2 linked regions of the Arabidopsis thaliana genome follow. The protein of the gene in region 2 interacts with the protein of the main gene of each other region in a pairwise test. Each region holds a gene or a part of one and is shown on either strand. Other genes may lie near its edges. The genes, in order: PUP8 and AT3G10120.

Region 1 (4,463 bases), on a different chromosome or scaffold from region 2:
GAAAGAAGATTGTTTCTTGTTTTTATTGATTGGTTTTGTTTGAGATGTCGTGCAGATACACAAGAGGCCTTTCTTTAAACACACATTGATGGTATTACAAAAAAACATCTAAATACCCTACACAAGTTGCATTATCAAACATGGCAGGCTTTTAGTAAATCGTATTATATGGATGGGGCAGGCGATAGATGACAGTAGCAGTATCATTATTTAGTAGTCTCATGTTGACCGGTGACTTTTCTTATTTGCTTACACTTGACTTGTGGAATTCTTGAAACTTTTGAATGGCGGCTCTACGAGAATTTTTTTTATTTTCTCAGTGTCTACTGACGTTTAATCAGAAGTCAACAAAGATACAAGAATCCAAGCTCCTGGAGTATACGTTTTTGGTATTTTAAGGAGTCTTTTTACAAGGCACTGTTCAAGTCACTACATTGGTTATTTGTTATGTCAGTGGCTTCCAGGTAAGTGGGTATTATTTTTGTTCACTTGTTTCTTTTTTTTTGTTCAAAGCTCTGGTTTTCCAAGGATGCTTTAGCCTATTTGCCTCTCTGCTATCGATGTTTGCTCTTGTTTTTTGGTGATTCAAATGCATTGCAAAATGACAAAGCAGAGTATTGCATTTGCATCTTTAAGTTATGGGTATCTCCGGTATATAGAAGTAAAAAAGATCCGAACTATTGGTATCTTATGTACAAAACTTATCAGTTACTTATGATTGACTAGAGATACACGTTTTTATATCTATGCTCAAACTGTACAAAGATACATTGGCTTTACACTGGAAATATGTTTTGATCATACACTATGTATGTTTGTGTGACCTTCCTCAGCAGGTAGTAGATGAGGATCTCCTACAGGACTTGTGTGGCTAGTCTTCAACTTCTTTTCGTCGAGGTAGTGCTGATAGACAAATGAAATGAATCCCCAGATAGCTAAAATGATGGAGAAGATCTTTGACGCGTTCATTTTATCATGGAAAACAATCACTGCTACAACTGGAACTATAGGCAATCCCACAGCAGTTATGGAATTGGAGAACACAGAAGATGACTCAAAGATCAGTCCCACGACGCCAATGGTGTAGACTTGCCAGGAAATAGCTATCGAGGCCAAAGTCATAACGTATGGCACTTTCCCCAGTTTGTAGTTTTCCATCTCACTTGTTAAAGTTTTCCACTCCCCGCTTGCGAAAAGTCCTATGAGAACCACACAGCTTGCAACTAGAGATTGGTAAGCGACCAAGTCAGTGACCGTTGAGAATGTTTGCTTCTTTAAAACCTTCCTGAGGATCAGTTGTACCAGGGATAGCAGCAATCCAATCCCAGCAGAAGCACCAATGGTACATATTATCCCTATCACATATTTTACTCTAGACACTTTTGCTGTGTTTTCCGAATCAGTGTTGACCACGAGGAGGGCAGAGGAAATAGTAAGGAGAAACAGAGAATTCACAATGAAAGGTGTGAACTTCTGCGAGTTTAGAAAATATGAGAAGAAGGCAGTGAAGGCCAATTGTGAGGCCAAGATGAGGGAGAAAGTAGAAACTGGTAAGTATAGTAAACCAACAGAGGACATATAAGAGTTAGCAGACACTAATAGTCCAGTAACGATGTAAACTGATCCAAGAATGGTGAAGGAAGAGAACTTTCTGAAATCTGCTTCTGTTGGTTTGGGATTTTTGGTTTGGGAAAAGAAGCGGAAGAGAAACAGAACAGGGAAGCCGATTAGTTGGACAAGTGTTCCCATCCATGTACTCTTCCCACCATTTTCATAGTAAACTCTGCCCAAAATTGTAGAAAGTGCTTGGCAAGCAAGGACAAAGAACACGTAAATGGAAATACGAAGCCATTTCTTATAGTTCTTCGATTGAGGTACGGACGAAGATTCGATTTCCATGGTGGTATTCATTTCCTCCTGACCTGTTAGGTTTGCTTCTATGTTGTTATGATCTGAAAACATCAAAAACAACAGGTTAGCGAAAAGAATCAAGTAATCTACACTACGAGATGCATCTTGCTTACCATTGACATAGATTACTTGAGTTATTTCCATGACCACTCTAAGAGGACTTCCCACAAACAGAGTTTTGGTAAAGCTTTTATATATATGAAGGTTGGTGGGAACAAGTGCATCATATTTCTGTAAAGATGTTTACCGTTGACTTTGAATTATTGAAACCTTTTAATTGGCGGTTTTAAGAAAACTTCTTATACACAACGTTGTTAAAGTAGGCTGAGTTTGGTGAAAACAGATATATAGACGCTTGATATTGTTGTATCTTATTCTAATCTTATTGGCTCAAGTGTCCGTCCACTTGAAAAAAAAAAATTATTACTTGTTTTTGTTATGTTAGTAATCTATTTTGTGGATTTGGAAGTCAACAACGATACAACAAGACGGGAAGGCCATAAGTACACTTGACTTGGATTCAGAAGTCAACAAAGATACATGAAGACTGTGAGACCTTGAGACACTTACCAATTTTATTTGTAGTGCCTACAATATATATAACTCATTTTTATTTTAGATTAAACTGGTTCAAATTACAAAAGCTTTTGGTTTTCTTGGATCTTTGCCTAAGCTTGGACATGAATGGTATCTACTTGTTTTTGTTCTTCTTCTTCTTTAGACTGAGGAAGCTCTTGGTCTTCTTCTGGCTTTCTATCATTGACATAATGCTGATAACCATAAGAAACAAATCCCCAGATGGCCAAAAACATTGCAACCAACTTGATTCCACTCATCTCATCACGGAAGAAGACAACAGCAAGAACAGGCACAACTGGTAAACAAAGAGTGCTTATGACATTGGAAAAAAGCGATGAAACTTCGATAATCAAACCAACACTTCCAATCAAACAAGCTTGCCATGATATCGTTGAACCGATGTTTATCAAAATGTATGAGCTTTTCCCTAGTTGAAACTCTTCCATTTCTGTACTCAGCTTTTTCCACCCACCACTTCCAAAAAGTCCTACCACAACTACACAAGTAGCTACCATAGACGGATATGTGGCCATGTCTAAAATAGCCTTGAATGTGTATTTCTTTAGAATCTTTTCGAACGCGTAATCTGTTAAAGAAAGCACCAGAGAATAACCAGCTGAGCTACCGACCGCGCAGATGTATCCAATCACATACTTGGACTTGGCTGCGGACTTTGAAGTAGAAGAGGGAGATTCTGGTTCATGTTGGATAACAAGAAGTGTAGAAGATATGGTTAAGAGAACAAGTGAATTGAGTATAAATGGTGTGATTTTTTGTGAGTTTAGGAAGTAAGAGAAGACGGCGTTAAAAGCCAATTGCGACGCAGAGATCAAAGAGAAAGTTGAGACAGGAAGGTAAAGTAGCCCAAATGAGTACAAAATACAATGTCCAGCAACAAGCAAGCCAAGTCCAATATACACTAAAGATAGTGTCAAGAAGGAAGAAGTAGTTTTTTTGGTAATGGTTTTAGTCTTGGACGGCTCAGGCTTTAAGTAATAATAGCAAGGAAGGGTTAAAGGAAACCCTACAAGCTGAACCAAGGTTTCGAGCCATGTGCTTTTACCGCCTTTTTCGTAGTAAAGTCTACCTAAGAGAGTGGCTATTGTCTCTCCAGCTAAGAGGAGAGTGACATAGAGAGACACTCTTAACCTCCAAGAGTACTTGTGACTTCTCTCTTCTGTTGAAAATTTCCCTTCAGGTTCTACCATCAACACATGAAACAGAACAAGAACATAAGTAAAAGAAGAAGAACACAAGAATCTCTACGCCGGAATTTCTGTTACAATACTTACCGCCATTTACGTGAAGATGGAGTTCTTGAGTTTCTGATTCTAGTTCCATCATAGAAACCTGAAGGAGAAATATGTCAGGGAACAAATAAAGATGGTGTTGCTTACTTATATAACAGGCAAATGCGTATGCATATATTATTCTTTAATAAATAAAGTTAGTATTAGTTTACATTAAGATTTCAGTTTTTAAAATTATAAGTACTACATATATCGTTATAATTTGTCCTACTAACCATTTCCCGTGAATTGTTAAATGGCACTCTTGGAATGAATCATCTCCTCCATTTTTGTAGGATCCTATCTTTAAACGAACCAAATTTTATTACCAACCAGAATTTTCTTGCCATATTTTATATTTAGCCAAAACAAATCCTTAGGGTACTAGCAAGTTATCTATAGACAAAAGTATCAAACTTACCAACCAGTATTATCAACCGTTAAACACGAACCAAATTTAAATTTTTATTACCAACCAGTTTTTTCTTGTCATATTTCTTTTATTATTTAGCCAAAAATATTCCTTAGCGTAGTAGCACTTTATCTATAGACAACAAAAGTAGCAAACTTAATATGACCATATGAAGATAACGTGTCCAAAAAGAAAGCACAAAAGTTTAAGTACTAGATAAACTTCAAAATGATGAATTGACGATAGTAATGATGATGATGATGATTAGTGAC
Region 2 (3,644 bases):
GAGACTCTAGTTTGAATTATCATAAATATCATTTCAAACTAGTTCCAGTTTTATATGCCTGTTTTCTCATGATTGCAAACATTGAAAACAAGTGTTTTTCTCTCGATGCTCATGAATGTGTGATATAGAGTACCTAACCTTGACATTTCAAAACACAAAATGTTCAGTACATGTTCATCATTGTTCCGAGAAGTTTTATCTTTTCATTAAAATGTTCAGTGCTCGTGAAGCATCTAACATAATCAGATTGTTATTGTTACCGATGAACAAAATCAACTTTGTTTCAGGCTATGTTACCGATGAAGAGATTGAGAGACGGGAGAGAGAACTAAGGAGAGCTCTTCAAAATGACAAGAAGTTCCGAGTGAGAGATGGAGTATCATTTGAAGTTGCACAGGTTAATCAACATTCATAAATGGCTAAATGGATTGTCTTAGACTCTCTACTGATACTAATTAATGAATTCATTTCCTGCAGTATAATCCACCATTCACTCTCCCGTTTATGCGCCGCAACGAGGTCTCTCTCGAAGTTGAAAACAAAGAAGATTAGCCCCATCACAAGTCATACATACATGTATATATTATATGTATACACAGTTAAATACTTGTGCTAAAGACAAAACGCGTTTACTTGAATAGTTGAAAATGAGTAGTAATTACTGGTCCTGGAAGCCATTTTCTTCACCCACCATTATGATGCATCTTTACTTCGCTTATAGCCCACTAGAGATGCCTACTATAGGCTTTGAAATTAACCCAAAGAAGCACTCAGGACCTTTTAACTTTTGGAAAATTCCGTCCTAACAAGTTTACATTTTTGGGGTTTAGTACAAATTTTTAAACTTTCTACAAAAAGGGTTTCATGTACTACCAACCCTTGGAACAGTATTTCTGGGAATTACAAGTTTTCTTCTTTTCTCTTGAACAAGCTTGTGTTATCTATCTATGTATATAAGTATATGTCACATATATATCTAGATATAACATCCCATGGGCTAATCAGTTTCAGGAATGCTATCTAACAAAGGTCTCCAGCCTTCTTTATGACACTCATCATCATCATCACACAGATGTTGCTTAGCAAGAGTCCTATAAACCATTTCATGAACAGAACCTCCTTGAAGCAGCTTCTCCAGCTCTTGCTTACTCACAACCATCTTCACTCTCACAACACCATTAGTCTTCTCCTTGGTGTTGTCACAACAATCTGTTAATCTATCTTCTTCTTGTTCTTCTTTTTCCACCTCTGGATTTGCAAACCTGACTTTCTTCATCGTCTTCTTCATGTGCTTGATTGAGTTAGTCTCCTGGGGCAATAGATAGTAGAGACGGCCACAGAGAAGCTTGGCTTGGGGATGAAGATGACAATTGTTGGTGAGAGAGTCAAAGAGAGAGTAGTGAGGAGAGAATTGGGTGAGGATGTGATGAACCTTCATAGGTCCTCTGTATTCAACTACTTTCCCATCATTTCTCATTATCTTTATCACTTTCTTCTCCATTACTAAACAGTTCCCCATACTTTTTGTTTGTTTGTTTGTTTTTTTCTAACTTTAGTTTGTGCTTTCTTCTGTATATGTGTTTAGAGATTTTTTTGTTTCTTGAGTTTTGGAGATTTGTGGTTGCATATTTATAGAACTTAAGGTTATGTGAATGCCCCTGCGTTTCGGGAATATTACGAGAAATGCCATTCTATCAAATGCTCCCCTAAATGATCTTTATCTCATTTTTTTTCATTAAAAGTGTTTATATGTCGTGGTGGGGTGTGGTCGGGTGGTGCTCTCCTAATTATGTTTTTAAAAAAATTGGATCTCCTAAACTAATTTCGATTTTTTCACATTAAAAAAAAACGAATTTCGATATTTTCACATAAAGATCTCGGAATAGTTGTGTAGACTTGTAGTGGTAGTGGTATAAAGGTGGTAGATGTGATTAGTGTGATCAGAATATATCAAGTTAAAAGATTTGATAGTAAGTTAAAATGGTAGGAAAAGTTATCTAATTACAAATAAAATTGTTTGAAATAGTTAAAATTTAGTTTGGCTGAATTATGTGTCTGAATATCCCCAAAGAATGGAAGTGCATGTCGTGCATCACCGTTGCATCCAATGTATGTTTATGACTTATGAGTTATGTCTTTTTTAAAAAAGAATTTCTACCTATATTCTTGTAGGAGTATATGATTATGTAGGTGGTACAAGATATTCAAATTGATTAGATTAAAACTAAGTGTATCACCAAACTCTTCAACAATACATTGTTTAACGACTCCCGATGTTCTTGTTGGGAGGATATATCTTGGTCTATTGAAGATTTGAGCTACAGTAGTGTCATTTTAAAATTAGTTGAATGAATGATTCATTTCAAATCGTTTTAAATAATAAGGATGGAGGTATGCACTTTCTTTAGCCTTAAAATTGAATATCCAAGTTGTTTCACTAATGATTCATTTCAAGTCGGTTACATTTATAAGAATGCAGGTCACATAATATCTCTTCGTTTGTTAAAAGAATCAAAAATTAAGATTAATTTTACGAACACTCATTTGTCGCATCGATAGAGTTAAAATCCAAAATACGTTATGTTTATAAAAAGATTGATTTAAGCATTTTATCTTCTTCTTCTTTTTTTTTGGACAAGATTCAAGCAATTATATCTATCATTTTAACTAACAAGCATATAGTTAAAATTGAATTAATATTTTATTGGATTTGTTAGACGAATTAACATTTTGTGTGTAATTGCATTACACCAACCATCTTTATACTTTAGTAGACATCTAACCACACTAGTTTCAACTGTTACAAACCATTCACGATCTAAAAATAGTATTAAGTTTACGAAAAAAATCTATATATTGACCAAAAAGAAAAGGATTGTAGCGGAGGCTTGCCTACATCATAAGGTGGAGCCACTAGGAGGACCACAAAAGGAGTCCAAATGACTTTTGATAAGTGGATGTCACCTCCAATTCGAACCACAACTTGATTTCTATAATCATTCTTACATTGAATATTTCCCCTTTCTCTTTAATCGCTAACATGCGCCCGCAAGTCTCACTTTCCTATACCATTGTTTTGTTAGTTGGAACTCCACAAAACCCAATTTCATTGTACTTCTTTAATTCACTCGTTTGATACTTTTCACTATACGACATGTTATCATTATGTTTTGTTAAAATGATTAGTAATAACGCATTACCTTATAGTCTTATAGATAAATTCACTGGCCTAGAGATTTGCATTACAATACCCTCATTTGTTTGCATTTACTTAAGTTTCCTAATTTTTGTGGTTTTGAATTGTTGCTCAAAGCTTATGAAGCAGAAACTGAATTTACATATGCCACTTCAAATTATGCTTAGGTGTCGGTTTATCTTCGTTTGTTTTAGTCTCTCGTTTCTAGATAACTCTAATGTCGGATATCATCAACAATTCAACATGCATGGAGTTGATTCTAACACCATTTGAAACGAATCTAGCTTATAATAAGTCAAACCAAGCGCACAAGATCGACAAGTAATTAAGCTTATCCAAAATTTAGTTTTCATAGCGTGGGTATCAATCCTACTAAATTCCAAGAGAGAAAACAAACAAACTTATCTCATATGGACCGTTTTATATCTTATTTTTGCACAGAGAAATA

The links.
Region 1: the proteins of AT3G10120 (region 2) and PUP8 interact in a protein complementation assay, tested with the Arabidopsis thaliana proteins (one large-scale study listed by BioGRID).

What each region holds. Positions count from the first base shown.
Region 1 is NC_003075.7:10,067,310-10,071,772, reverse strand, and holds PUP8 (purine permease 8), read right to left. Parts: upstream 2,316-4,463; 5' UTR 2,056-2,315; coding exon 2,025-2,055; intron 1,953-2,024; coding exon 799-1,952; 3' UTR 658-798; downstream 1-657. Other genes in the region: PUP6 (purine permease 6), read right to left, coding at 2,580-3,691, 3,783-3,834; AT4G18180 (Pectin lyase-like superfamily protein), read right to left, coding at 4,456-4,463.
Region 2 is NC_003074.8:3,128,030-3,131,673, reverse strand, and holds AT3G10120 (uncharacterized protein), read right to left. Parts: upstream 1,603-3,644; 5' UTR 1,520-1,602; coding exon 998-1,519; 3' UTR 783-997; downstream 1-782. Other genes in the region: AT3G10130 (SOUL heme-binding family protein), read left to right, coding at 288-397, 478-552.